Rhinolophus ferrumequinum: one gene and its partners. The protein of the gene in region 2 purifies or fractionates together with the protein of the main gene of each other region. This does not show direct contact. Links are inferred from orthologs where the notes say so. Each region holds a gene or a part of one and is shown on either strand. Other genes may lie near its edges. The genes, in order: MAP2, PRKACA, CDK5RAP2 and VAPA.

Evidence for each region.
Region 1: the proteins of PRKACA (region 2) and MAP2 purify together in Homo sapiens (affinity purification with mass spectrometry; 3 studies listed by BioGRID and IntAct, with this or other methods). This does not show direct contact. The link is inferred for Rhinolophus ferrumequinum from reciprocal best matches to the Homo sapiens genes PRKACA and MAP2.
Region 3: the proteins of PRKACA (region 2) and CDK5RAP2 purify together in Homo sapiens (affinity purification with mass spectrometry; 6 studies listed by BioGRID and IntAct, with this or other methods). This does not show direct contact. The link is inferred for Rhinolophus ferrumequinum from reciprocal best matches to the Homo sapiens genes PRKACA and CDK5RAP2.
Region 4: the proteins of PRKACA (region 2) and VAPA purify together in Homo sapiens (affinity purification with mass spectrometry; 4 studies listed by BioGRID and IntAct, with this or other methods). This does not show direct contact. The link is inferred for Rhinolophus ferrumequinum from reciprocal best matches to the Homo sapiens genes PRKACA and VAPA.

The regions. Positions count from the first base shown.
Region 1 is NC_046291.1:24,036,345-24,043,637, reverse strand, and holds the start of MAP2 (microtubule-associated protein 2), read left to right. Parts: upstream 1-4,112; 5' UTR 4,113-4,332; intron 4,333-7,293. UniProt on the Homo sapiens protein: The exact function of MAP2 is unknown but MAPs may stabilize the microtubules against depolymerization. They also seem to have a stiffening effect on microtubules.
Region 2 is NC_046301.1:47,890,065-47,897,621, reverse strand, and holds the start of PRKACA (cAMP-dependent protein kinase catalytic subunit alpha), read right to left. Parts: upstream 3,169-7,557; 5' UTR 2,961-3,168; coding exon 2,915-2,960; intron 1-2,914. Other genes in the region: histone chaperone ASF1B, read right to left, coding at 5,865-6,068, 6,439-6,615.
Region 3 is NC_046295.1:71,103,276-71,110,568, forward strand, and holds the start of CDK5RAP2 (CDK5 regulatory subunit-associated protein 2), read right to left. Parts: upstream 3,212-7,293; 5' UTR 3,023-3,211; coding exon 2,964-3,022; intron 1-2,963. UniProt on the Homo sapiens protein: Potential regulator of CDK5 activity via its interaction with CDK5R1. Negative regulator of centriole disengagement (licensing) which maintains centriole engagement and cohesion. Involved in regulation of mitotic spindle orientation.
Region 4 is NC_046302.1:8,139,041-8,147,031, forward strand, and holds the start of VAPA (vesicle-associated membrane protein-associated protein A), read right to left. Parts: upstream 3,231-7,991; 5' UTR 2,590-3,230; coding exon 2,511-2,589; intron 1-2,510. UniProt on the Homo sapiens protein: Endoplasmic reticulum (ER)-anchored protein that mediates the formation of contact sites between the ER and endosomes via interaction with FFAT motif-containing proteins such as STARD3 or WDR44.

The DNA of each region.
Region 1 (7,293 bases), on a different chromosome or scaffold from region 2:
AGACTTACTATAAAGCTACAGTAATCAAGACAATGTAGCACTGATGAAAGAATAGACAAATAGGCCAATGAAACAGAATAGGGAACCCAAAAATAGACATACATTTATAGTGAATTGATCTTTGATGAAGAAGCAAAGGCAATTCAGTGGAAAAAAGATAGTCTTTTCAACAAATGTGCTGGAAAAACTTGACACCCATATGCAAAAAAAAAAAAATAAAAAATTGAATCTAGACATTGACTGTGCACCCTTCACAAAAATTAACTCAAAATTATTCATAGACCTTGCTATAGACTGAATATTTGTGTTCCTCCAAAATTCATATGTTGAAACCTAATTGTCAATGTGATGGTATCAAGAGGTGAGGTTTTGAGAGGTGCTTAAACCATGAGGGTGGAGCCTTCATGAGTGGGATTGTGCGCTTATAAAAGAGGCCAGTGAAAGCTCCCTTGTCCCTTCTACCATGCGAGGGCATAATACGAAGCTGCCATCTATAAAGAATCAGGATCTTGCCAGATTCTGAATCTGCTTGTGCCATGCTCTTAGACTTTCCAGCCTCTAAAACTGAGAAATAAATGTTTGTTGTTTATAAGCTATCCAGTTGGTCATAACAGCCTGAATGAGCTATGACAGAACTAAATGTAAAACGTAAGACTATTATACTTTAAAAGGTTACATAAGGGAATATCCTAGTAATGTTGGGTTTGACAATGAATTTTTAAGTGTAACACCCAAAGCATAATCCATGAATGAAAAATTAGTAAGTTAGTCTTCATTAAAATTAAAAAGTTGTACTCCATGAAAGACACAATTAAAAGAGTAAAAAGACGAGCCACAGTCTAGAGAAAATATTTGCAAAACACATATCTGAAAAAGGGCTTATATCCAAAATATACAAAGAACACTTAAAAACTTGACAATAAGAAAATAAGTCAATTTTTACAAATGGTCCAAAGATCCGAACAGACACTTCACCAAGAAGATGTGCAGGTAGCAAATAAAGATTTTTTAAAAAGTTCAAAATCATATGTCATTAGGGAATAGCAAATTAAAACAGCAATGAAGTACAATTATAAACATATTAGGAAGGCTAAAATCTGAAACACTGACAACACCAAATGCTGTTAATGATGTGGAGCAACAGGAATTTTAATTCATTCCTGGTGGAAAGGTACAACCACTTTGGAAGACAGTTGGACAGTATCTTACAAAGCTAAACATAGTCTACTATGCAACCCAGTAATAGTGTACATAGGAATTTCCCTAAATGAGTTGAAAACATATGTCGACACAAAAACCTGAACTTGAATGTTTATAGTAGTTTTACTCATAATTGCCAAATTTAGAAGCAACCAAAATATCCTTCAATAGGTGAAATAGGATAAACAAACTGGTACATTTATACAATGGAATATTATTCAGTGATTTAAAAAAATGAGCTATCAAGCCATGAAAAGAAGAAATCTTAAATGCTTACTGCTAAGTAAAGGAAGCCGGTCTGAAAAGGTTATGGACTGTATGATTTCAACTATATGACGTCAGAACAGGGAGGAGAAAAAAAGGAGGGAGGAATAAGTAGAGCACAGGGGATTTTTCGGCCAGTGAAACTATTCTGTGTAATACTATAGTGGTAGATACATGACAATATGCATTTGGCAAAACCTGCAAAACTACAGCACCAAGAATGAGCCCTAAAGTAAACTACGGACATTATTAATAATAATATCTTGATATTGGTTCATCAATGGTAACAAATGTGCCACTTCCATGCAAAAGATGTTAATAACAGGGGAAACTGTGGGTAGAGGGAAAGGGAATATATTGGGAAATCTGTAGTTTTATTCAATTTTTCTTTAAATGTAAAACTGCTCTGGGAAATAAAACTTGTTAATAATATTTTTTAAAAAAATCTCAAAAAGACCTAAACCCATAGAAATCTATACGATGTTCACAGATCGGAAATCTTAATAGGTTAAGATGAGAATTCTGCCAAAAATTGATCTATAAACTCAGCACAATTTTAATTTAAAAACAGCATTATTTTTATAGAAATGAACAAGTTGGCACCAAAATTTATATGGAAATGCAAAGCATTAGCTAATTCAAAAGGATTTTGAAAAAAGAAGAAGACTGCAGGACTTGCAATACCTAATTTCAAGACTAACTATAAAGCTTGAGAAATCTAAACAATATTTTGATTTGCCAACAGTGAGGAGAGGCAGGATTGTGCACAATGCCTGAAGCTGTATTTGTCTAAGCTCAGAGGTGATACAGACTCAGGGAAATTCTGCCTGAAGTGAAGGAAGGTAGGAGTACTTTCCTTCTAGAATGCGGTTTGTGTGTCAAGTAGCACGGAACTAACAGGAACTGAGAAACACTCAGCAGTTGGACTATGCCGGATTGAAGGGATACTCTCAATGAGTCTCTGCAGCAGCATGCTAGGTCTTGAATGTCAATGGCTAACACTCTAGCAGAATTCTTACTCCTTCCTTCCATCCTATACTATGCATCATTTCATAGTCTCCTAAAACCTCCTTCTTCCCTATCAGACCATGCTCTGAGGAGGAGCTCTAACTCCTCCAACCTCCCTGCTACTTAAGTGTGCCCTGATACTTCCAATCTCATTGCAAGTGTCACAGAGACATGGCATAAAGCTGGGCAGAGGGCAGTAAATATACACAGAGCATGGAGTGTGACCTTGGAGGCCAGGGTTTCAGATCTTACTCTTATAGCTTCTAATCTTTACAGCCTCCCATAATTGGGTCTCTTTTTCCATTTGAAAATTGAGGGAATTGGACCAAATGCCTAAGAAATCAGCTCCAATGTTCTCTGGTTCTATGATTCCTTGGCTGATTTCAGTAATACAACAAATTACAGCTGCTGTTTCCTCAGCACTGTTGAAACTATACAAGCCATTTCGCACCATCTTGGCTGACCGTAAAAACACCTTAGCAGTACTTGATATAAACGTTTGAAGCAATTCTAAGTTGCATCTTTCCTCTCTTACAATAAATTGCTGTTCTCTGATTTGAAGATTCCACGGTAAGGAATCATCTGTTTTCTCAGTTGGTCATTTCACTTTCAGAAGTATTTAAGAGATGATTTCCTTAAGTGGTGATGTTTCAAAGTCAACATTTTCTGTGCTTTCTACTCATTATACTTGTATCACTCTTCATAGTCTTCACAGAGTCTTCTTATTTATTATCTAATTATACCCTCATATTAAACATGCCAGAGGGGCAGGGCTGACATTTTAAATCTTCATTTGACACACTGATACACTGAGATTTAGATTAAGTGAGCGGTGTCAGGATCATACATCTGGCTCTCTAGAAAGCAATGTCCATGGAGGCAGGGTTGCTTTTTGGGGCGGGACAGGGTCTATTTTTATTTACAGATGTTTCCACAGTGTCTAGAACAGTGTCTAACACATAATAGGTTTCGATTAACATTTGTTGAATGAATAAATGAATGAACGAATCTGATTAGTGACAAAGCTGGTTCTAGAATTCTCTAAACCTTCAGCAATTGCTCCTTAAGTCCTGAAAAGAGGTGTTCTCTGTTCTTGTGCTTCCCCAGTTTTCCTCTATCATTTCTGCAACTGCTGTTAGGTTTGTGGAAGCACGGCTAGTGAGTGTTCCCCACAGAGGAGTGACAGGAACCACTGCCCACAGTGACAGAGGAAGGAAACGAGGGGCGTCAGTGGGGGACGCCTCCCAGAGAGACTAAGCTGATTTCCTCAAGGACGTGGGTGAAGATCTGCCGGGTACTTCTGTTCTGAGGGCGCTGGTCTCAATTTGTTGTTGGTAGTGGAGGGGGTGGGATTCTCTTGAGGGGTCCGCCGTCCCAGGCCTGCATGTGGCCACGTCTTGGCAGGCGCTCTGAGGCTGCCACCCCCATCATTCCCGCCGGGCGGCGGTCTGGCTGCGGCAGGAGGCGTGGCAGCTGCGCTCCCCCTCCCGGACACTGCGGCGGTGGCAGCGCCAGCATCACCACCGCCGCCGAGCGGCCAGCAGAGGCGGGCGGGATTTGAAGGGGGCGGGGAGGGAAGGCGGGGCGAGGCGGCCGCGCCGGGAGCGGGCGGCGGGGGCGGTGCTCAGACTGGGCCGAGCGCTCCGGCTGCGCGGGCTCTCGGCGGCCGTGGCGGCAGCAGCAGCATCCTCCTTCTCTCTTTCTTTTCTTCCCTTCCGCTTCTTTCTCTGTCTTCTTTTGTTCTCCTTCTTCCCCTGCCCCGTCTCACTCTCTACTCCTTCTCCCGAGGGCATTAGGTCGTCCTCCAGCCGGTGAGCAGTGACAGCGGCGACCGCGGATGCATCCAGTTTCTGCGTCCAGGTAAGAGAGGCTTTCCCACCTCTGGTTCTATATAGGGCGTCTTTCCTTCTACCTTGTTCATCGCGTAAAGGTAGCCTCAGCCAGGAATGGGATGGGCATGGGTCAGGGCTTGTCTCGTCCGCTGTGCCTTAGGAGCAGGCACAGGTTGGCCGAGCTGTCCAGTCTCCTACCTGACCGAAGCTGCAGGCCCGGCCTCTCCAGGTGTCACTATGAAGCTGGTGACCGGGCGCTGTTACCTGAGCTCTAGATTTGTAGAAGGGTGTGCGACCTTGGTAGGTACCACTTTGAAACTCCCGGAAATTTACGTCAGGTTAGGATACTTGTCCTACACCTGAGGTGTAGGAAGATGAAGCGTGAATTACAAAAAGATGGTGGGAAAAAACGATTTCGAGGTAGAGGATTGTTTTGTCCATCTAGCTGCAGAGAACCACACACGAAGGTATTAGTTAGGGAGCCTTGTCAATTTGAAATCTTTTTCCCTGTTATTCTTCCAGAAACAGCTGGAAGAGGAAAATAGATAAATATTTTTAGGAAAATGAGAAATCAGTGTCTGGTTGTGTTGGAGGGCGGGACACGAGAGGAAAAAAAAAGAGTCTGGATGAGCTTGAGCATCCACAGTCTTTCTTTTTAAACCACGGGAGTGGAAAGCGGCACCTACAGTCCATCTATGCTTTTCTTTTTAAAAAATCTTTTTTGGGGTGGGCTGCAGTGCTGGGTGTCTCTCTTCCCCAACCTCCTCTTTTGTTTAAGGATGGAAATTTAAAGAAAGAGTGTGTGAGAGGAGCGGGAAGGTGTGTGTTTGGTTCGGGGGCGGGGGTTAGTAAAGCGGACGGTGTCAGGAGAAAAAAATCCTTGAAAACTGGAATATTGATATTATATTGCCTGTCGTTGGGACTTCGGGATTTTGTCAGAAAATAAAAAGCTCTCATTAGCAACATGCCCGTTTCTCACGATTGTTGTGTGCCATCTGCTGTAAGTCTTTAGCATAATGCTTCCAGGACATAGACCCTTTAAAACTGACTCAATGTGAATGTTTTTGTTTAAATGCATACACATACACACTCACGCACACTCATTTGCTTGTGCACACCACACACGCATACACATATAATACCCTATATACATAATATTACTAAAGGGAGTGGATACTTAAAAGATAAATCTTTAAAATTTATCTTTGAACGTTTGGGAATTATGGTGTAAATGAAATCTGTAGTGCATAACAAAAAATTGTTGGTGGTACATAATTTTGAATGTGAGGTAGAGGGATTGATGAATGTTGGTAAGGAATTCACTTCAATGTTAAAGATGTTATTTATTTTTAAATGATCCATCTGTGAGAGTCAGTGACGACAAAGTGAAATTGAGGTTTGCAGCCACAGTGAGGCGATGGAGAACAAAGCCTTTTATGTGAACCCTATTATGCAAAATGTCCCATGCTTGAGTTGCAGGTACCAGCCCAGTATAAAGCATAGCTCTGTCACCCTGTCTTTCACTGTGGGCAATTATAATTTTTTTTTTGCAATGAAAGTAGATTACATAAAAGCTATGTAGAATTCCCAAGAGGAGGATTACATTCTTTCATCTGAATGTAACACAAAACACCTCTTTAACTGGGCAATAGTCATCTATGTATTTTTGTAGAAATCTTAATGAATTTGTAAATCATGAGTATTTCAATGACCCCTCCCCCTTTATGCATGGAGGCATCCTCCCACCAAGAAATGGTGAAAAGCGTTTTTTTTCTTTCAATAAAGAATATTATATTTGTGTGTGTGTATCAGTATTGATTTCCTGGTAATTTTATTTGATTATCATAGGTTTACATCTGTATTCATGATTTACATATTATCAGAGCTCTTGTGCCTTTAGGATCAGTGGTACATGCTGTTTATCTGTTCATGATTTAATTTGAATTTATAGTATTTTACAGTTTGCTATAATATTATTTAATTTCCGAAAGTTTTTTTTAACTTTGACCCATAGGCAGAAAATAGCTTAATATATAGTGGAGATCTAAGCAATTTAAAAATTGAGCTTCCTTTTTCTTAAAAAAGAAAAAATAGCGTTTTGATTACATTAATTTTTTTATTTCCTTTGTTTCTCTCCTCTCTTATTCCCTCCCCACCTCCACTCCCTTCTTGTGGAATAACCTGTTTCTTTCTGGCTATCTGTGCTGCTTTATGTCTAGACCACCAAAAGCAGGGCCAGTGTTCTCAGGAATTTGGAATTTAGAATTTGTTAATTCTCTATAGCAACTCTCTCTCAAGATGACTTGTTGACAGCACCTTCTCAGGGAGGAGAAGGAGAAAGAATGTGCTGAGAGAGCATGACCCAGTGAAACTGGCACAGCCATTACCTCATCATAGCCGCTACTACTTCATATTCTGAGAGCCAGCGTCGTCTCGGTGGAAACCAAATGCCAGGAGCACACCCATCTCAGGGCAGGCCTTCTCTTCCCATAGCAGCCTCTAGGAATGTTGCTTTCCTGACTGTAAAGGGATGTTTTCTCTTTTATGTATTTCTTTTCTGGGCTCTTGAACTTGGTCAAAAATATGCATCCAGAAATGAAACTTGGCATAGAATCCTCTAAGCCTGAAGGAATAATTTCATTCCTGTACCACTTTTGGTGTAAATCAATTTGCAATTATTCTAAACATCAGAAGAGAGAAGGAAGAAACATCCTTGCTGGTGTAATTTTGCATGTTTTCTTATGACACATTTTGCGTTGAATTTTACTTGCAACTAGATAACAGACTGGACTGCTATCTATGCTTTTGAGAACGATAGTGGTACTGTTGTACTTGAAAATTAAATGTTTATTACGTTTGCTTAGATGTAATACATGACAGTCTGGGCATCCCTAAATTATTCATTGAAGCTCATGTAAGACAGACCATATGAAACCAGCTTGGGGATTTTAGTATTAATGTTAATTACCCTGATTAATGATTTCTTTTC
Region 2 (7,557 bases):
ATCCCAGGGGCCTCTTGGGACCACTGCCCTCTCTCAATTTCTCTAGCTTCTCAGAGTCCAGTGCTAGATCTGTTTTTCTCTGCCCTCTTAGCATCTTACCCGGGCCCCTGCCAAGGTTTTGGCATCTTTGAGTATAGATTTCCCCCACCCCACCCCAGGGCTTGTTTTAGATAGACAGATCCCTGCTCTCTTGGAAGGAGGCTGGCACTGTCTCGCCCAGACGATGGCACAGGGGGCTGGAGGATGCCTAAGTAGTGCCTACTAAGGCTTGGACATTCTCCTTACCCCAGTAGGGTTGGTGTCTGGCAGATGAAATTCAGGTGCCCCCTGCAGGATGGCCTGGCTACTGCCCTCTACCCCCCACCCCAGGCCTGGCTCTAGTTATATGAAAGCAAATTTTGTCTAACTCCATCCTTGCAGAATTAGAGTTCCAAGCAAAGAGGGGCTTCCTTCCTTATCCTGTTTGCTTCTCTGAGAGTCCCTGCAAGCCTCTAGAACTAACTACAGCTTCAGGCGTTTCCTGATATATGACATAGGTCCCAGTGGCAGGGCTAAAAATGATTTTAGGTATGTTTCACTTTTCTAGTTACATTGTATTTCAATGTGTAGCAGAGAAATGTAACTGGCACAACAATTCCATGATTTCATTTATATTACTGCTTAGGATGGAGCAAAGTTTACATCTGAACAAAAGTGAATCAAACTTTTATTATTGTAAATTAAGGAAATATAATAGAGTAAAAATCAGGGAGGCAGCTTGAGAATGTCTGGGTTGGGAAATTCTGGGGTCCAGAAAGTTGGCTGGAAGGTGGATCTATGTGAATCCTGCCTCTGTGACATCATCTATGTCAAACTTAGAGAGGTCGTTTGGAAAATTCAGAAAACAGCCCGTTATGAAAACCACTTGAGCAGAAAGATCTATGGAGACCATTTAGCCTGGCACATCCTAGATGCCCAATAAATAGTGGCTCTATTTCACTGTGATGGTCAATTCCTGAGTATCTGGCCTGTGCTCTGAGAGATTTAGTGGTCACTTCCGGAGCCTCTGATCTTTTTCTTGGGGATCCTTTTCCCTGTGTAACTTTCCACCCCCTCCCACCCCTCCACACACACTGCATGTGTTTGATATGCCTTGAAAGTTTTCCAGGACTATGTCATCTCCCCAACTTTCAACTGAGCCACTGCAATATATAGCTGCCTGCCTCCACCTTCTACCTCCCAGGCCTCACCTGCTGGGGGCCCAGCCCCTCCCCCCTCTGCCTAGTCCCCTCCAAGCTCATGCCCAGACCTTTTTTGGTCACTATCCACCTGCTCCTCTGTCATCAAGCACTCAGCTACAGGCACTTGCCTCCCTGTCCCCCGCCCATTGGTGACATGTCAGGCCTCCCCATAGCTGCTTAGTGACTCTGAGTTCTGCCATCTGAATCCATGTGGGAATAAAGTTCCCTGGATTTGGTGCCTGGGTCTTTCTGGGAGAGGGCATTCAGGGGACTCAGACATTGGGGTCTGAGACCAGTAACTAGGAACAGCATATCTGGCGTCGCCTTTTTCATCTCTGACTATTTCTGGGTAACAGGAAGGGTATCCTAGCTGAGGTCCAGCTTTAGGCCTGGAGCAATGACAACTTAAGAGCTGGAGGAATTGAGGAAGGGGCTCAAGGCCATTTCTGAAGGCATTTCCAGATACAGAATCTCTTTCTCTGGCTGGCTGGAAAAGGCCAACATAATTTGAGGTTTGAGGAGGAACAAGCCTCTCTCTGGCTGAGCCCAGGGAGTGATCAGGATGTCCCTTGGTAAAAGGCAAGTCACTGGATGTCACCCACTACTCCACAACTGCCATCCCTCAAGTCCCCTTTCTCACCATCCTGGCTCAAGCTGAATGAGCCTTGTTAAATCCAGACACTCTTAATCCCCCCCTTTTCATCCTGAGCCAGGAGCGGGTGAAGAAGCCCACAGGACTGGGTGAGTGACGGAGCCTCAGTTGTGAAACAACCATTTATTATTGAGGACCCTCCAAGGAGTCTAGCTAGAGCTCACTGCACCACAGGAGATAGAAAGGGGCACTCCTGCCGCCGCCCCTTCTCCCCGCCCCCAACCCAGGAAGGAGGATGCAATGAACCCAGGAAGACCAGCTCAAACTTGGCTTTGGACACACTGAAGCAATTCTCTTGGTTCATAAACAGTCTGCTACCCCAACCAGGGACAGACGCTTGCTCAGAGGAGAAAGCACAAGCACAGGAGCAGAGTGACAGAGAGTGACAGGATGAAAGGAGCAGAGGGACCCAGAAAGATCCTGTCCCCCATGCCAAATGACACAGAAAGTAAAAACAATGCTGGACATGGCTCTGGGAAAAACTCAAGGGGACAGAGTGGGTTTGGAGGGGGGCTGTGGTAAGGTGAAGAGGGGAAGGACAGGAGAAAGATGGCGGGGGCTGGAGGGGGGAGGGGTGTGGTCACCAAGTGGCCAAGGTTCCTGTGGGGTGGAGACAGACCCCACAACACTCCCAAGACTGTCAGAAGCTTGGGTTGGGGTATTGCGGTGGGTCCCATCTGTGGGATTGGCGAGTGAGGAAGTAGGGGGGATTAGAATCTGGGAAGAGGGTCCAGGAAAGGAGGGGGTGCGGTGGTGACAGGGCCCCATGTGGGGCCCCAGCGGTCATACGTGCCATGGTTGGCAGTGACAGCTGGGTGGGGGGGACACAGTCTTTGCAGCGAGGGGCGGCTTTTGGCAAGGTAGCCCCTATGGAGGGTCTTCTGCGGGACCTGGGCCCCAACCTTGGACAGGCAGGGGGAGGGCGTGCTGGGGGTAAGCAGAGAGCAATGGGGGGGCACGTGGGGGAGGGGCCAGGCGGTGATGGACAGGGCGGGGGTTGGCAGCGCGGGGCCGGGATCCAGGTCTCGGCCCGAGCACTCACCGCTCTCCTGCTCACTGCCCTTCTTGGCGGCGGCGGCGTTGCCCATCGCGGCGGCGGCGGCCGGGGCCGGTCCCGGAGCTGCGGCGCGGCGGGTGCTGGCGGCGGCCCCGGAGCGCGCTGGGCGGCGGCGGCGGCGGCCCCTAGGGTTGCTGCGCTGGCTGCGGCGCCGCGACCCCCGCCAGGCCCCTGCTTCCCGCGTCTCTCCGCGCCCGCCCGCCCGGGAACCTCAGCCCAAGTCCGCTGCTGCTGTCCGTGACGCTCCCGCAGCCCGCGTTCATTGGCCCAGGCCACCTTGACTGACGGCGCCGCGCTGCCGCCCATTGGCCCTCCGCGACCCTCCCGCGCTGCTATAGGCTCTCAGCCCCGTGACGCGTGCCGCGGACGCCCGGCCACTCGCGCGCCTGCGAGGTGCCTGATTGGCCGAAGCTCGCGACAGGGCTTGGGGATCGCCCAGCGAGGCCGCCAATTGGTCGAAGCGCGTGGTCCGGCCAGCCCCCCACAGAACATTCAGTGTCAATCCCGGGGTGAGAGGGCGGGGCGGCGGCGCAGCTTGCTGTCGGGGTCGACCGGGCGGGGCGGCGGAGGCTGGCTTGCTCCGAGGCCCAGAAGGCGGTCCAGGCGGGTGCCCGCCAGCCCCTGTGCGCGCCGCAGTCCCCCGCCCCCGCTCAGTGCGGCAGCGGCCGCCGGCCAGCGGGCGCCGCGGACCCCCGATGCTGCCGCTGTCCACCTGCCAGCGGGGGAGGGGCGCAGCGGCGCCGCGGGTCAGAGGTCGCCGGGCCGTCAGCCGTCGTCAGTTTTAAGGCCTGACGCAGGATAACAGTGGCAGGCCCGGGAGTGGGGGTGGAGCTCCTGGGTCTCCCCCAGCCACAGCCCGAACTTCAAGAGGATGCTGGGCCTCGGGAGCAAGGGGCGCTTGGGAGCGGAGGGTCAGTGCCCATCCCTTTGCTGGGCGCCCACGCTGGGCTCCTGCCAGTAGTAAGAGCAGGCACTCGTTAAATACATTACTTCCTACTATGGCTGTATCACGCAGGTACTATTATCGCTCGCATTTTACAGAGGAGGAATCTGGGGCAATCAGGGTGAGGATTCCGTCTTGGAGTTGGAGGGAACCTGCCCTCCAGGGGCAGAGAAGTAGCAAGATGCCTCTTAAGGGTGCCCTTTTTATACATACACAACTTGAGGGCAGTGTTTCCCACTGCCACACTACTCACATTTCTTTGCTGGCGCGGGGGCGGGGGTGGGGGTGGTTGTCTTCTGCCTTATCCCCAGTTTCTCTACCCATTGGATGCCAGTAGAACCTTTTTCTCCACCGGATTTGACAACTAAAACCCTCTCCAAACATTCCTGAATGTGCCTGGGAGGCCAAAATTGCCCACAGTTGAGAACCACTGAAGCAGAGGAAAGCCCAAATAGGTGTCCAGCAGGGCAGGGGACAGGATGAGCCAGCTCTCCTTGACTTAGAAGGGCTATGGGGTCTCAGGTCTATAAGCTGATTCGCTGCTCTGCTTATAGACTTGTACTGCCTGCATCCTACCCAGCTGCTCTCTGCACCTATGCTAGGTCAACTATAGTCCCAGGGAGGAAAAGTTGGGGCACTTCTGTGAATTATGGGGGAAATGGCTCACCAGCCAAACCACTCCACCTCTGGCTGTGGGGTTACAAAGTAAGGTTAAGTAAAATTTAATAAAAGTATGCTGTGTGTCCTTGGAGTACAATGTTAATTTCTTCCTGTGGGTCAAGGTCAAAGTCTGAAAAATCACTGGTTATGCTCTATCTGCAGAACAGCTGGGTTGCATAACTTTAAAAAAAAAATCCCTTCTCAAACCTCAGTCTGGATTACAACTATATAACCAATTAAGACTAGAGCAAGAAGCTGAGCAAGGGGCCAAGGGGCAGTGAACCCCACTGGTTGGAGCAAGAGGACCCTCCACTATGTCCCAAAGAGAGGAGACGGACAAAGATGCCTCAGCCTACCTGAGACAAAAGCAGAAACAACCAGTCTAAATTAAGTGCTTTTTATTTTTAGACCAACCGAACATATTTAATATAAAAACCCTTTAATATACAAACTGCAATCTCAACAGCATCCATGTAGCAGCAAGGAGATGGGGGCATGGAGGGGAGCATGGCAGGGGGAAGGAAGGTTTTCAGGGTCTCTCCTGCTTCCCATGCCTGCGATCACTCTGCGGCCCATAAGAGCATGAGGTCTTAGCAGAGGGGTTCAGATGCTGACACTGAGACCGAGCATAGCAGGCCCCTCCAACATGGCATCTCCCCACAGTGGCAGCCTCCGGGAAATCCAGATTGAATTAGGAGGCAACAGGAAGGTGGTTGTGACTGAGAGTCAACCATCATTGTTCAGCATCCTGCTGATCACACTTTTGGGGACAGTTTTCCAGGGGCTGTTGGATTGAAAAGACCTAAAAATTGTTCTGGGAGGGCGGAAATTGTGCCCAAGTCCACTTTCTAACCCAGATTCTTTGCCTGACTCCAGAAAGCTGGGTGGATCTACTCAGATGTTTGGGAAAAGAAAGGAATGATGGAACCTTGGCCCAACAGGGTCCAAGCCTTGCCAACCATTGATCTTCAAAGTTTCAAGGTAGGCCAGGGAGGTCTGTGGGAAGAGCTGTGGGTACATAGTACTCACAGGAACATGGTAGGTAGAATGGCCTGCAGGTGAAATTTATAGTGTGTTTGGAAGAGAGAAAGGACACCAGTCAGAATTAAGAACTGAAGTACCTGCTTCTTATAAGCCTGGGTAGTAGAGATGAGATGATCCTTCTGGGCCAGGGCTGGGAGAGACCTGAGGCCTGTTCTTTACTCGGGGACAAGTTTGACTGGCCTGGAGTAGTTAATGGCCCCAAAGTCCTCCAGATGGCCCCCACAGGACTCTCCGGCAGGCCCAGTTGCCCCTTCCAGATATGTTAGGAGACTGGCTGCAGTCCCCCAGTTAGATGCAGTCCATGGAGTTCTCCGGGAGAAGACTGGGGATGTAGCCAGGGAGCCCCAAGCCTTTGATAGGGGTGCAGCTGAGGGGGAGACCGCAGCCCAGGGCAGGGTCCTGGTTCTCTGTGTCCTCCAGCCTGTCCATGTTGTCCCAGTTGATGTGGAAACGGGTCACCCGGGGATTCGAGGCCAAGATGTTCCGTTGGAGCTGGGGCAAGAAGAGGAACATCCACTTGTCAGTATGCCCTCTCATTATTCCCACAGAGCCCGGGCGCTCCCAACCCCCCACCCCAGGAAGTGCAGACCTTACTTGTTCCATCACCACCAACAATATGTGTGGGACTCCAGGGAACACCTGTGCACCATGATTTAGGGCCGGGAGCTATCTAATCTTGATTCTGCGAGGCATGCTTCTGAGAAACAAAGCCTCCTCTCCCCCTGTTCTAACCCGGTGCTGCAAGATCTGGGTGCTACTTGAAAACCTTAAGAAGTGACCTTGGCTCCAGATTCCAATGACTCAACTCCCTCCAAGTGCAAAAGAGCCTGCCAGTCTGGAGCAGGAAGTGCAGAGGCCCCACCTGAGAGAAGTCTGGCTGCAAAGGCGGGTTCTCCCGCAGCTCGGGGTCGGAGTACTCATTGTTGACATAGTAGCCCACGCGGATAAACTCCTGCCCATGGTAGGTACAGGTGATGAGGACGACGGTCACACCGATGGCATCGCTCTCAGGGATGAGGGATGGGTTGGGGGCATCAGCCTACGGGAAACACATCCTGGGCCTTAGCACCAACTGCCACAGTCACACCTTGACCAGTAACAGTCATTCTCAAGCAACATGTATTTATTGAGCCAAAAGTATGGCCTCTGCCCTTGGGAGTTTTCAATCAAGTGGGGAAGAGAGAATCAATCATGTAAATGCCTGTAAAATGCTGGATGTGACAGGTACCACCAAGTAAATGGTGCTGAGGAGTGTGGTAAGCAAGGAGGAGAATGGCATGAGGTTGAACAAGTGGGCAGGTAGGTACCAGGCTACCCAGGGACTATTGGGCCAGGTAAGGGCTTGGGGAAAAAAGTGAGACATTTAATAGGTTAAGTGCCACATCACTCCTGTAGCCTAAAAAGATAATTCTGGCGGCAGCGTGTGGAGCTGTGATGGAAGAAAGCCTTCATGGGAGCAGGGAGACCAGGCAGGAGTCATCCTGGAAAGAGGTCAGTGACTTAGACCAGGCAATAGAGAAGGACAGAAGTGGACAGAATGGGGATATGTTGTTCTGGACAGAGCCGCCTACATAACTGGTATAAATGAGACCAATACAACATGAAAACACGGGGCTCTTGTGTTCAAAATGAGTGTTCTTCAGCCAGTGACAACAGAACATCCCACCAAGCCAGGAGTCGTGTGTGACCGCCTGGGTCGCACACGGAGGAAGCTGGCCCTGATGCTGTGGAGCTAGGGCTTGCTGGCAGGTGTGATACAGGAGGGTGAGGGTTAGGTGGTGGAGAAGGCTGCTTAGACTGGGGCGGGAACAGACATGGAAGGGAGTGAAGGGATTTGAGAAGAGGCTCTCAAACTTCATGTGTATTAAGAATCACACTAAACCTGCATTTCTCACAACCACTCTGACACTGGATTAAGTCTTTTAGCAGTTACAGCAGATCCTCATTATTCACTGATTCTGTATTTGCAAATTTGCCTACT
Region 3 (7,293 bases), on a different chromosome or scaffold from region 2:
GAGCACAAACTGGACTCCAGTTTAGTCTCTACAACTGGGGCTTGGAAATTACCAAGCACAAGAGTACTCATATTAGCAGAAGACGAGGTGACTCCATTCTAGGGATTTTTCTCTTCCACTGTGCCCACCTAATGGAGAACCTGGCTCTCAGAACATTTCTGCTGTTCTTTAAGGGCCAATTCAAGTCCCAGCAGCTCCGTGGAATCCTCCAGAATCCTCTCAGAATAGGTTCAGAGAACGAACTGGAAAGCCGAACAGGATACTGAGAGCCAGGCTTTGGAGTCAGTAGGCCTGGATTTACATCCTGGCTCGATCATGTACTTTTTGTGGAGCCCCGACTATCCACCTCTCTGAGACTCAGGGCCCTCACCTGTGAAAAGGGGATAATACTGTCACCTAAAAAGATCGCTTTTTATTCAGTGTTAACAAATAGCTACTGAACCCCATTTATGAGCCAGATACCTGGTGAGGACCTAGGGCTACAAAGATGATTAAAATGCAGCCCCTGCTCGTAAATAAATAGGTCAGAGTCTAATCTGGGAGACAGACAAGTTAACTGCACACCTGCACTGTCCAATACAGGCGCCATCGGCCACGTGTGCCCACTGAGCACCTGACATGTGGGTAACCCAAGCTGGGAAGTGCTGCAAGTGTGAAATACATACCAGACTCCAAAGAGTCAGTAAGACAGAAAAGAACATAAACTATCTCATTAGTAACAGTTTGCTGTTTACAAGTTAGAATGATCATATATGGAAATACTGAGTTCAATAAAATATATTATTAAAGTTATTTTCACCTGTTTCTTTTTACTTTTTTAATGTGGCTACTAGAAAATTTTCAATTACATATGTTGCTCAATTAGATTTCTATTGGACAGCGCTCATCAGTACAATCCAGTGAGGTGAACAAGGGCTGCAATAGGGCCAGTGACGGATGGGGTGGCTCGAAGAGTACAGAGGACCCACGTGGGGATGGGGAACTGTCAGTGAAGGCTTCCTCGCAGTGACATCTAAAGTGAGACCTGAAAAACAGTAGGCATTAATATGGCAAAGGGGTGGAGGGAGGGCAATCCAAGCAGCAGGAACAGAAAGTGCACAGGCCGAGAAGTAAGAAAGGACAAGGCATTCATGACAAAGAATCTGGCAGCCAGGTGAGCCCGGGGAGAAGACAGGGTAGGGAGAGGGAGGACCAAGGAGGCTGTGAAGTTGATGGGCCAGACTAGGAACGACCCTAGAAGCTGCATTAAACAACTCCATCCTGAGTTTGGAAAGGAGCCGGGGAGGGTCTGAGCAGGTGAGTAAGAGATTAGTTGCCAGGAATATATGCAGCCCCTTCTCCCTGCGAAGTCAGGGAGAGGAAGGAAGGGAGACTATCTGATGATCTGCTGAGTTGCTGGATCAGACACTGGGCTAAAACGCTTCTAGACTCACCCACTTTACAGATGATGAAAACTGAGGCTCCCAGAGAATAAGTGACTTGTCCAACGTCACAGGATTGATAAGTGGCAGAACTGGGATTGAAACCCACCAGCTAGGTCTGGCCAACTAGCACTGAGATGAGAAAAGCTGTCTGAGAGAATAATGGACTTTATCTTAACGGCCATGAGAAGCATTAAACATAAAGTGCAGACTGTGATGATCAGATGTACATTTTAGAAAGAGCTTTCAAGCTGTGGTATAAAGGACTATTAGGGGCATGAAGGAAAATATGACAATCCAGGTGAGAGGTCGTCCCCCAAGATATCTGGGTAGTCTAGTAAGATGAAGAGAAAGGGACATGAACTGCCACAGGATCCAACGAGGCAGGAGCTGCAAAGGGCCTTCTCGACCTTATACACAGTAGGTTCTCAATAAACAAAGTAACCATTTGTCCAGGTTTGCCCATGATTGGACCTGTTTATGCCTGCTGTCCAGGCATATGTATTAATTGTGCCCATTTCACTCTTAAAAGTGTCTGGGTTTACACAACAAATAACATGGTCACCCTTTCAATTAGGGTCTGTTGACTAAAAGAAGCAGCCTGTCCCTAGTAGATTTGGATAAACACTGCGGATTCTCAGTCAGGCTCTCCTCTGCATCCTTCTACTCACTATCCAACCAGGAGCCCTGGGCAACCAAAGGGCCCTGGCCCTGGGGCCATGCCCGGCTCTGCCAGGCCTTCCTACCAGAAGGAGAGAGACCGGCGCCACCAGCAATGTGGACTCCAACTGCCTCGTTGGGCAGGTCCTTTGGGAGGCCACTCTCTCGACCATTACTCCCCATTCTACTGACAATGATGGAGGCAACACAGTCAATTTTTTGGCACTGATTATGTGCCAGGCACTACACTTGCCAAACAAACTACTGGACAGGGGCAGACACCTTCTCCTTTAACCCTCACCCCGACTCTGTTGGGTGGATTTTACTAGTAGCCCCATTTTACAGACGAGGAGGCAGGTTGAGCCACTCTACCAAGGTCACACAGCTAGTTAGTTTAAAGGGCTGGACTTGAACCCAATTCTGTTCAACTCCAGCCAAGGTTCTTAACCTCTGCCTCAGTCTTGGTGGCCACTATGTGACCCCCTAGCAAAGTCTGCACAGACCAACTACACTCACCATAATGACAGCAAACTCCCAAGGTCCTGCCCCCAACCAGCCTCCACTAAGGGTCCACTCTAAGAGGTCCCCCTTGTCCCGCTCTTTCGGAGAATCCCTTACCTGTCCCTCACATCCCCTTCCCCGTATGTCCCGAAATACGAGAGGCGGGTGTGGTGCAGGTCGTACCCCCCCGCCCCACTCAGTATCAGCTGGTGGGTCCCTAAGGAGGCACCCCGCACCCCAAAAAAACCCACCTTACACACTGCCCCTGTCTGCAAACCTTCAAACACCTTCAAGAGCAAACCCCAAGTCTCCGTTGGAGCGAACCCTCAACAGCTGGAACCCCGACCCGGTTATCGCGAACCCCCAAAATGCGGGCCGCACCTGCAGCCGCTGAGCGTCCCGGGGAGGGTGACGTCCTCTTCCAACACCGAGTCCATCATGGACACAGAGGAGGTGGTAGCACTGGTGCTTGTGGCAGCGGCACCACTGGTTCCCCACGCGGTCGCGACCCGCCGGGTTCCCCAGGTCCCCGCCCCCTCCAATCCAGCTCTTGTTCGGACTCTGGCGGCGCCGCTGGAATTCAAACCGCAGCCGCCGCCATCTTTCCCGGCGCTTCTTCCTACGGAAACGAGGCGGGGTCACCGAGGAGCTTTCACTGAAGCCGACCGGCTGCGGCCCGAAGCCGGGCAGGGATGCGCGGGCAGGCGCCATCTTAACAAAGGGCAGGGCGTCCGCATTGGGGCCCGCGAGTCGAACGACAGAGGGGCCAGCTGCCATTTTTTGTGAGGGTATCCAGGCCGAGGCGGGGCGGGCGCCATCTTTGCTGAGGGCGAAAGCCGGCCTCGGTTGGTTCATTGAAGCGGGAGTCGGGAATGCACCCCCTCACGGATGCTCAGAATTCGTAAAACCTGGTGTGTGTGTTTCTAGGATAATGACCCCGAACCTTGCAGTGTGTGCTTCCAAAAGGCTTCTGCCTTGTCTTGAAACTCAGATAATCGGGTGCTGCTTCGCTTTAGAAAAATCCAACCTGTAGAATCCCAACTCAAGTAGTAATTTGTGCACTTAGTTTGAAACAAACAAGCTCCTTCCTATGAGCCAAGTGGTCAGCGGCACTTACTATGCAGTCTGTCGCCTAATGATTCCTTATTACCTCTAGGGCTCAAACGCACCTGAGGTCGGCAAGCTGAGGCACACAGAAAGGAAATGACTCGCCCAAAGTCATGCACAGTAAGTTTGTCACCTCAAGCCAGATCTGTGGCTCCTGCCAGCTGCATCAGGGATCTCTGCATAACCCTGGCGACCTTCCTTAAAGCAGAGCCATCACCAAACACCTGGATAATTGGGGCAGAACTTGGCCAGTGAACTCAACCTTCGTCTCCCCATCTCAAGGTTGCTACCAGGAAAGCCCTGGATGAAAATACCTTGAAAAGATGGGCAAGTGGGTAGATGGTGACTTTCCCTACAATCATGTATAAGACCACCCGCACCGTCAGTTTCCTCCTTCTTCAATTGAAGAGTTACTTTCCGAAAGAGGCCTTCTCTAATTCTCGAAGGTAAATCAAGCCCTTTCTTATAATCTCAGCAATGGTGTTTTTCCTTCGTAGCACTTAACACATTTTGCAAGTATAACAACTTCTGCATTTGGGGGTTTTTTAATGTCTTCCTCTTGCACTAAACTGGAAGCTCCATAAGGGCAGAGACTGTGTTCCGAATTGTTTACTGTTATATCTCCCATAACTATCACACCCACCAGGTGTTTAAATATATATGTTGAAGGAATGATTCAATCAATCTGGAAAATGGGGCTAAAACCTACTCTGCAAGGTTTTTGTCATGAGGTAAGAATGACCTGAGATACCTTTAGTAACTCAGTCAGTGGTAATCCCATGTATCCCACTCTCTCTCTCTCTCTCTCTCTCACTCTCTCGCTCTCTCCCTCCCTCCGTCCCTCCACCCCACCAACCACCACCTCAGTAGTAAACCTACAAAGCTCATAGTGATGGTGTATACCTGTCCCTCTTGCTTCCCCAGATCTTCAACCACTCCTAGAATCAGCAATAAAATAACAGTCTGAGAGAGTGTGCAGAAACCAGCAGCATGCCGCATGGCCTGCCCCAGGGAAGGGGCAATCCTTGAACCCCTGAAACCAACAGTTCTTCCCAGTACTACATATGTCCAACAGCAAGGAAGCTGGGGTGTCAGGATTCCCACCCTGGTTTGGCCACCAACTCTCTGTGATCTTTGGCGGACCATCTCTCTTCTCTGGGCCTCAGTTTCCACATCTGTAAAATAACAGGGTTGGGCTGGATGGATGTCTCAGGACCGCCCAGCTCTGGAGGTGATTTCTACTAATGCACGAGCAACTCTGTTCTGGTGAGGGAGGCGAAGTTACAAATCATCACTTCCCAGATGGGGGAACTAACTTTCCATCCAGCAGCTGAAAGCTCTTGAGAAAGAAAACAAGGAAGAGGACTTTACATATTCTGAGTGTCTGTGCCACTTGTGCCAGGCATATCACATGCACCACCTCATTTTACCATCACCACAGCCCTCTGGAGTAGGCGCTATTATCCCCATTTCACTTACAGGTGAGAAGACTGAGGCTGAAAGAGGTAAAAAGAACTTTCTCAAGGTCTCACTGCAGAGCTGGGATTTGAGCTCAGGTCCTCTCAACACCAACACCCTAATTGTTTCAGACAGCCTATGTTTCCTATTCGTTTCTTTTTCTCCACTTTAGAATTTATAATTAAGAGGTGATGTCTACATCCATACAACAGAATTTCAGAGATGTGTTCTCCCGACTCTACTCCTTGGGCAACTGCTTCAAGGTGGCCACAAGGTGAATCTTAGTGTGGGCAGTAATGAATGCAGGACTGGAAGTCTAGGCACCTGGATTCTCACTCTGGAAACTCCTGCAACTTATTCTGTGACCTGGGGTCCCTTCTGCTTATTCCTCCTTGGTTTTCCTACGTGTCAAATGGGGCAGACAATGCTGAGCTCACATAGTTGCATTATCTAATTAGATACTTTGGAAACTATAAAGAAATAGAGTTCTTATTTAATCCATTGCCCCATTCGGCAAATGACCGTGTTCCTGGATGGTGTGCTAAACCCTTTAGTGAACCTGGAAACTGAAAATAGAATCAATCATACAAAGGATAGGCTATTTGGGAAGTTGTTTTTCCTGTTTTCATGGTCAGGGACGAAGCCCTTTGCCCTGTCTCTGTCTCACCATGGCCTTTCTTTCTGCCAAGCCTGGAGGTGACGTCACTACCACCAGCTGTCTGGGCTATCTGGCGCCATCTCCTTGACAACAGCCACCCAGCCACAAAGCTGGCATTATTATTTCCTTGAGCAAGGTCATATTGAATGGCTGGGAGGAAGTAGCTTGCAGACAGATGTTTCTCATTAGGGTAGAACCCTCCTGAAGTTTTAGCAGCTCAAGCATCTCATTCAGAATACGTGAGCTGCCATTACTAACAGCAAGAAAACCTTTTTATAGGGTCAACACATACACATTGCTGCTGTGCACTATTTCATTTTATCCTGGTGACGCTCTGAGGTAGATTGGAATTATTGCCCTGTCCTACAGATGAGGAAACTAAGGCTCAGAGAGAGGACAGTTTGGCCAAAGGCCACTCTTCCCCTTTCTTTCTTTTTTTAGCTTTTCATTTAGAAATAATTTCAGACTTAGAAAAAAAGGTGCAAAAATAGTGCAAAGAATCCCTTGTGGAGCCTTCACCCAGCTTCCCAAAATATTAACATCTTACATAACCATAGCACAATTGTCAAAAATAAGAAATTACTGCAATATGATTTACTACAGACCTTATTTAAATTTAATCAGTGTTCCCATTAGTGTCCTCTTTCTGGCTCAGGATCCCATCCAGGATCCCACGTTGCATTTCATTGTCACGTCTCCTGACTCTCCTCCAATCTGTGGCAGTTCCTTTCTTTCTTGCATGACGTTGACAGCTTTATGGAAGTTCTTGCCGGTTATCGGATTGCATGTTTCTTAATTTGGGTTCATGTGGTGTTTCCTCATGATTAGATTGGGATTATGCACTTTTGGCAAGAAAAGCACACAGGTGACACTGTGCCTTTCTCAGGGTATCAGAAGCCAGGTGGCGTTAAGATGTCTCACGCATTGGTGATGTTAACTCCAATCTCTTGGCTAAAATGGTATCTGCCAAGATTCTGTGTGGTAAGATTACTATTTTCTTATAATTAATAAGAATCCTGGGGGTGATATTTGAGACGATACAAATGTATTGTTTTTCATCCAACTTTCCCCCACTGATCATCTATTGATAATTCTTACCCAACACAATGACTACAGTGGTATTTGCCACTTGGTGATTTCCTACTTTCCTCATGCCTTCTATATTTATTAGTTAGAATTCTAATGTAAGGAAGAGCTTTCTCATCTCCCCCATTTATTCGGTTGTTTATTTAAATCAGTATGGACTTGTAGACACTTCCTTTATCTTATGGGTCATAATCCATTACTATCATTATTTCGTTTGTTACACATTTGTCCTAGATTTGCCCAGGTCACCGTTCAAATGCGTAGGTGCGCCAAGATTCAAACCCAGGTCAGTCTTGTCCCCAGGTCAGCAGCTTTCCCAGCACAGCACCCTGCCCCTGGCTCTGAAGAAGTCCCCCAGCCAGCCTCCCCATCAGCGTCCTTGACCAGTGCCCAGCCAGTACC
Region 4 (7,991 bases), on a different chromosome or scaffold from region 2:
GAGTCACTTTTGGAGAAACCTATCAGTCAAATGTAGAGTCAAAATAATTCAAATAAACGTACTAAAAGATGACATTTTGCAAACTATCCTTTGACAGACTTTTACTTCAATTAAAAATTATAGGTGATTTAGGGCAAGTCTGTTAAATGAGTTTTTATATCATCACCAAACTGAACATCAGGAGATTGTTAATTCTGAATGAATCTCCTTACTTACTATTGAACTGCGCACTGGAATACAGAGAGGATTCCGTCAAAGCTAAGTACTTACTTTTGACTAAAAGAATAACATTAAGGAGGAAGAAACCAAATACCACCAAGTGTCACCTAATTCATCCTATCCCTCCTCTTTCCCAATCCTCCCCATTACCCCACCTGTAAACAGAAACACACAGCAAACCCCTGGGTATCTAAGTATAAGCCCTACATTCTCTCACATCTGCGGTAGAACAAACCACACTACTCCCTTGCCCAACCCTTTCCCCCGCTCCTCAACGGAAAACAAGCTTCTTCCCAGAATGCTTCCTTAAGGAAAGAGAGGGCAGGGAGCAAGGAGCTTCTTGCCTCATACACACTTGTTTTGCCTCTGACATAACATCTATATGCCTTTGATGTCTCCCTTCAGCTGATACCTGCTGAATGAATTACTCATTGCTTAAATACTCTGAATACAGGGACAGCAACAAGCTTTCAGTAAGTGTCTGCCAAATAAATGACCCAACTGAATGTGTCCCTATAAACTTTTCAATGAAACACTTTTTCAGTCAATTTTAAAAGGTAGTCATTGATGTCCAAATTTTTAAAAATGGGCCTTGTGAATTACTTTCATCCACAGCACTAGAACAGCCTATTCTATACTCATAGCTAGTAATTCTTCAATATATAAAATAAGTAAAATATACGGATGTCATTGTGTAATGTTTTTGGTTAACTTGCTTCTCTATTATAAGTCTCTTACTATGGCAACATTACAACTTCTCTAGGGAAAAAGCTTCAAACTTTCGGTATTTCCTGGCCTAAACCTAGTTAAAAAGGCTTCCAAGTCCCTAACAGCAAAACACACACGGTTATCCAATAAAGGAAATTTCCTCTATAAACTCAGCCTGTCAAAGAGTAAAAGCAAAATACTTAAATTCTGGAAAGAATACACACCATAAAGGTTTACACTAAATTCCTCCAATCTAAAATAACGACTATTTGAATTAGGTAATTTCATAATTACCCACAGGCTTTTCTTTTTCTTCCAGTTAAAACTATGTGTAATCATGCCCCACGCACCAACTTGAAACGTAAAATGCACTTAGTGCCCGTCAAGGTATTTCGTAGTTGTCTTAAAACCAATCCTGACCTAACAAGCAGCTCACTTACGTTTCCATTCAAAGATACTTACAAATGCACTAAAAAGCTTGCAAAATAAAGGAATTATATAATACTACTCTAACATAATGCCAGAATACACTCTTTTAAAATTCCTAAAACTATTTACAACTTTTCTTATGAAAAATATAATTGTGCTGAGTGACACCTTATCACCCTTATCAGGCGTTTGTTGAAAAACCGCAAACGTAAAGGCAAAAGTCACAAACACTTAAGATTCCGCAGCAAAAAAAAGCTAAATGAAAGGACTAAACAGGAGCAAATACCAGGTCTGCTCTACGCGGAAGGTAAGCTGAAATGTCCTATCGGAGGACCAGGAAGACGTCTCCTATTAACTTACTATCAATTCTCGGGCTGACGCAGAGCTTTCCTGCCCGCACGCGCTTGGGTCTCTGCCAATACAACCGGGTAAGTCATAACCAGAAGACTTCGTGGGCTTCTCCGCCTCCCTAGCGCTCGATGTACCTGACAGCCGACTTACAAACTGGGCAAAAAGGCAGGGAGCAAAACCCTCGGCGTGGGCCGAGGGCGGGCTCCACCCAGCCCGTCCTCAGAAGGCGGACTGAGGCAGCGGAGGCCGAGGAGTGGTTCTCTCTCGGAACCGAGTCCAGGGGCTGCCGCGCCACTGGCTCGCCGCGCCTCGCCTCCCAGCGCCTGTGACAGCCCGCGCGGGAGACCGCGGCCCTTGCGCCAGCCCCAGAGCCCCCCTTTCCCCCGCAGACCAGAGCGTAAGCTCGAAGGTCACCGCCCACCCACGCCCTCCCAGACAACGCCCGACGGCCCTCCAGGACTAAGGACAAGTGCCAGACGCGGGCAGCAGCGCGGGCAGCACCAAGAGGCGCCCCCGCGGGACCGCAAGATGGCGGCGGCGGCGCCAGGGCCTGGCCCCTCCGCCTCGCCCGGGCTGGCGCGCGCACCGAGGCGCGAGCGGCCGAGCGAAGGACTGGGCCCGGCTGCGGAGCAGGCAGGCCAAGGGCCGGAGCGAGGCGCCGCGGGAGAACGAGAGTGCTGGGGCGTGGGGGAGGGGACGCTCAACTAAGGCCCCGGCCTCCGACCTTCCCTCCACACCCACCGCCCGCCCCGAATCAAGCCCTCCGCCCGCCCCACCCCAGTCAGGGGCTGCCTTTTTCCTACCTTTGAATTTGAGGTCTGTGGGCGGGTCCAGGACCAGGATCTGCTCGTGCTTCGCCATGGCCCCAGAGGCGGACGCCATCGGAGACAGCGCAGAGCGGGGGCGCGCCCGCGGCGGCGGTTTGCTGGCTGGAGGCGGGGGACGACGGTGGCGCCGGCTCACCCGAGCTCTGTGATGGGGCCAGCGCACGGCTCCCGCACCCCGACGCTTGCCGTTCTGTCGCCGGGTCGGTAGGCCTCCCGCTGGGTCAGCAGCTTCGGATCTCACAACTGACTCAACCTCACACCAGCCGTCGCGGCCACGCGCACTGCGATCCTCGGCACCCCACGTGACAGCTTTTGCGTGCCTACGTGCGCGCCCCGGGAGCCAGGACTCCCTAGCACTCGTCCCGCCCTCGAGTCCTGCCCTAAGAGGCGCGGGCTGTTGCGCCTGCGCACTCCCGGCCTCGTCGGCGCCCGGAGCATAGCCCAGCTGTCAAGGGAACGGGTGTGGAGAGGGGCGGAACCAAGTTCCGTGGAACTAATGCGGTTTGCACTGCCAGGCAGGCGGGCACAGTGCTCGTTCACGCTTAGCTGCTATTACAAAACTGGAGAACCCGTTGTGGTAGTGCATCACCATCTCCCAAACGGGAATACCTAACGGAAGGAAGGAGTAGTCAGACTCACTCACCACAACTCCCAGCATGCTTTGTGCGGAGGGCGGAGCCGCTGCCTACGGCCTGTTCCTTTTGCGGCACTGCGCGATGCTTGCTGGGAATTGTAGTAGTGGCTGTTCGTGGACGGGAAGGAGAGTAAGGTCTCTTGGAGGCCAATGGGCTTGGGCGTGCTGACACTCTTTTTGGCTCTCCGATGGCCTCTCGTCTGCGCTAAAAAGAAAACAAAAACTTTTGGAGACTGACCTGAGGTCCCCTGGTTAGAAATAAAAATATTCTCTTTGGAAAACATGCCGGGATTTGTCGGTTTTCTCTCAAATCCTACCCGATCCTCTATTAGTAGAGGTAAATTCTGTGTCGTATTCCAATCCAATCTCTTCTGCTTCCTGAATACTCCAGTGATGCAAAAGCAGATGAGGAAACGAACCTCATTTTAAAAGCAAACGCGTCGTTGGGGAAATCTGACAACGCACACGTATAAAGCTAAAAATAAAGTCAAAATCTACAGCGTTCAGTTGCTGTAGTCAATTCATCAGTTTTGATTAATGGTAGACCCAAACCAAAACAATTGTCACGTTAACATACAGGAAATGAATTCCATCTGCATCATTTACGGTGGCATGTAGCAAACTGAGCCAAATTAGAAAAATCTCAGTAGCAAAGTTGCTGACAAATCTTTAACCGATTGCCAAGGTAATGGGGATAAAATCATTAAATGAAACAAATAAATGTGCTATAAATAAACCTACTTGAGTTTAAATTCCTAGGAAGTACCACGAAACAAAAGACATACTGATGTTACTACCATGAAAGAGCAGCCCAGGTAGTCTAGAAAATAAATGAGAGACAAATGGGAACAGTAGTGGAGGCGTAGGCACAAAGTCCAAGTTTTCAGGTGCAATCCATGTATCAGAGCCCATGTGGGAATAGCTCTCTGGACTACATAGCCTAGCATTCACAGAAGATTGTGCTACACAAGAGGAATGTATCTTCAGTCATGAAAAATCTCAGAAGATAGGAGTGCTTAAGTAGTTTGAAAAGCATATTCTAAATTTACCTTTCCTTTGATTTCTATTTATTAACAAAATTTATTTTAAATGTCAATTACCATTAAAGGAGAATACAAAAATTGTATGTTTACCAAAAGGGGGGGGGGGGGCTTAGAGCTTTAAAAAAAAAAAAAGTCGAGGTTGACATTCACTCCACAAGATAGTGTTCCACATAATTTTAGTTATGAACTGACAGCCCTAAAACTGACACAAACTCCAATTTTTTGCTTGCCTAAGATGTCTTATCCATGGGCAAGTTAGCCGTGGCTGAAGTGGTTCCTCCACAGCGAGAATGACACTTCTCTTACCAGAAAGCATATGAATCCCCACTGTGCAAACAACCAATTAGAAGGTATAGCATGCTGAGGAAGTTCCCAGTCACTCCCCTATGGGACAATGGCTGCCCATTCACCAAGAGTTCAATAGGAAGCCAGAATTGGATGTATTCCAGTTTCCCAGTCTGTATCATTAAGAAACCTCTGCCCATTTAAGTCATCATCTTTGGAATCAACTGTTTTTCTCTTCTCGATATTGCTTCAAAAATCATATAGTACAATCTTAAAATCTATAGGAATTTAAATATACGGTAATCTATTTCAGTGGTTTGTGCTTGTATATTTATCAATACCTTTCTCAAACAGTTCAAAGAACTTTACAAACATCATCATACACTACTCAGAACAACTTTATAACAGTTAACAAGTGTTAATTTATTGTTAAATATGAAAATGAAAACACAGGTGAGAGCATCTCACGTCAGTAATGGAGCTAAACTATGGAAAGTTACCTAATTTTTCATTCTGTGCATTTTTGCTCTTCTCAGTCACAATAAAATGACAACCAAGAGTAATTAAAGCAACCATTTAAAATGTAATTGACTTATCTAAGGTTTAACACTTAAGCTAGGAATGGAAAGATATATAGCCTAATGTTCATTACTCTTTTTACATTGATTAACGCAGCTCTCCTGAGATATTAGCAAAATATATCCAAACGTATTTCTCTAGCTCTCAAGCTTTCCTGAGTATAAGAGGTGTGAAGACCTTGAATATTACTTCGACCTACTTGAATTACTAATAATATTCACCTTTGGACAGATTATCTCATGGGTTTGGCAAGGATTAAAAAAAAAAACTACCAGTTTCCAGTACAAATGCTATTAACAATGTATACCATCTTCTCCATAGTTAAACATGTTAAACTTTAGAGGAGTTCTATAATTCTGAATATGTTTATGATCAATTTTCTGCATAATTCAATTCAGTAAACATTTAAATGGGCACGTTTTCAATAAATATTAAAGCAGTAAAATGTATTGAATAAGAGTACAGGCTTTGGATCTGAACTGGTGGGTTCAAGTCCTGTTCTGCTCTATGTGGTCTTAGCAACTTACTTGAACTCTTTGTACCTGTTCTACATTGGTAAATTGGGGAGAATGATAATACCTATATCTGAGGTTTGTTATGATAATTAAATGAGTTATTACACATGAAGAGCTTAGAATACTGCCTGATTCCAGGACCGTTTCCTTATTAATGTTAAATGTTAAATTATTGCTGTGTGCTGGGCACAGTGGTAGGTTATACAGTGATGAGCCAATGGACATGGTCTCTGCCCTTACAGGCTTATATTCAGGCAGGAGAGACAAACATGAATGCCCATTTGCAGCTAGGATTCTGTTCTTGAAATAAGTTCAACTAGTGAAGTACACTCATGTGATAGCGGAAAGTTAGAACTGAGATGGAGGCCAGCTTTTTGCACCTTCTGGCTATTTTTCTGCTGAAGCAAGAGCACAGAGACTTGAGGCTTTTTGCCTAGCATTCCAGTGCCCATGTACCAGCTTCCTGGATGTCAAGACACAGTTAATTGTTGCAGGGTCAGCAGAAGAAGTAGTTCCTTCCTGAGTCCAGCTTCCTGATCCCTGGGTCAGAGGTAAGAGGGGCAGCCTCAGAGGCAGCAGCTGCCCTGATGGGGCAGTTTATTCTTGCCCTGGGAGTTATTCTTCATCTAGAGCCTGCTCCTCCACCCTTCCCCAAAATTTTATTAGCACTTAATTCCCTTTATTGTGTTGCTTCCTGCTTCGGATTTTAGAGTGCTGCAGAGAGTCAGGTGTCATGGAAGCCAAGAATGGATCAAGAAGGTCAATAGCGTAAAAATCTGCTGAATTGTTAACTATAAGGTGAGGACTAGAAAACTTTCACTTGACAGAGTAACATGATGCTGCAGGTAAAATATGAATGAAACAGAATCACTGCACACGAAGAGCTCTTTCTAAAACTGATACATATGCTTTAGAGCGATAACCAACAGAAATATGCATAAGGTCAACAAGTATCACAGAGACGCAATGCTTGTATAAATGTGGATATGTTGGTGGGGCTTATTGTAGCATATATGTCAAACTTCTGTGAGAAATATAGGTTCCAAGAGAAGGCCGATGGAAGCTGCACCAGATCAAATCAAGTCTGGAAAAAGAAGAATTAGGAAAAAGACTTACCCTGGGACTTTTCTTTGTATGACAGCTTAAAGCAGTTAAAACTATATGATTAAGCATCTTTGTATATGAAAAATAATTTGAATAATATGTGTTTTTTCAATTAATCTTTTATACTGTAAAAGCAATATGTCCTTATTGTAACAAGTGGCACAATCCAAAAGCAAATGAATAAAGTTGCCTCGTACACCTCCAATTTCCACTCCCCGGAGGTAATCAGTGCTAACTGCTTGGATTGTGTATCACTCCCCAACTTTATCCATACTTATAAAAACATAGCTAGTTTGGTTTGGGGGCTTTTGTTTTGTTTTGTTTTACAAGAATTCTAACATATTACTTCACAATTGCTTTATTCACCTAACAGTGTATTCTGGATATCTGACAAGGTCGACTGGCATCAAACTCAGTCTTTTAACAGCTGAATACAGAGAATAGATTCTGAATCCAGAAAATACCCATCTATGGTACCATTTGTTCCCTATTGATGAATGTGTAAATTGTTCTAGGCTTTTGTCACAACTAATAGCACGGCAATAAACATCCTTATACACATTTCCTTATTACAGAATGCTTTTATTTCCACAGGGAGATTCCCAGTGATGCAACCACTCTATCAGTGACATTTCCTATTTCAATACATACTACATACTGTTTATCCAAAGGGTTGTTGTAGTTTATACTTCTATCAGGAATGTATGAAGGTGGCCATCTCTCCCATTTTCACCAAGTGCTAGATCCCACCCCATACCAGCAACAGAAGAAGGGCTGCGTATAAGTATCCAAAATTGTTTGGGTCAATAGTGTTGGCCTCCAAAATTGTACATTTTCATTGAATCCATCCTTATTCTTTGAACCCATCTTCTCCTCTTGATATTCCATTTTTCTTCTCTGGACTACATAGATTACAGCACCTGTAAGCTAAACAGATTCACTGCAGTTAATAATGTGTTTTCTCCCACAAATACAGTTATTCTTAAAGGAAACCAAAGGTGCTTATGAACATTAAATACACATTTGACTCCCTGCCTGACTTCTCATAGTCTCTGAACATACAGGCTTCTTTGTATAGCCCTGACAAAACCTAGAGTAGATGTGGGTGAAGAACACAGATTTGGACATCAGGCAGACTGGACTTCAGTCTCCATCACTTTTTGCCCAGTTGTGTACTTAAACTCTACAGCCATATTTATAAAATGGCAATAATACAACATATATTTAATATTGTTTATGAGTCCTAAATGAGATAACGTTAATAAAGTGCTTAGCATAGTGCTTGGCAAATAGTAAC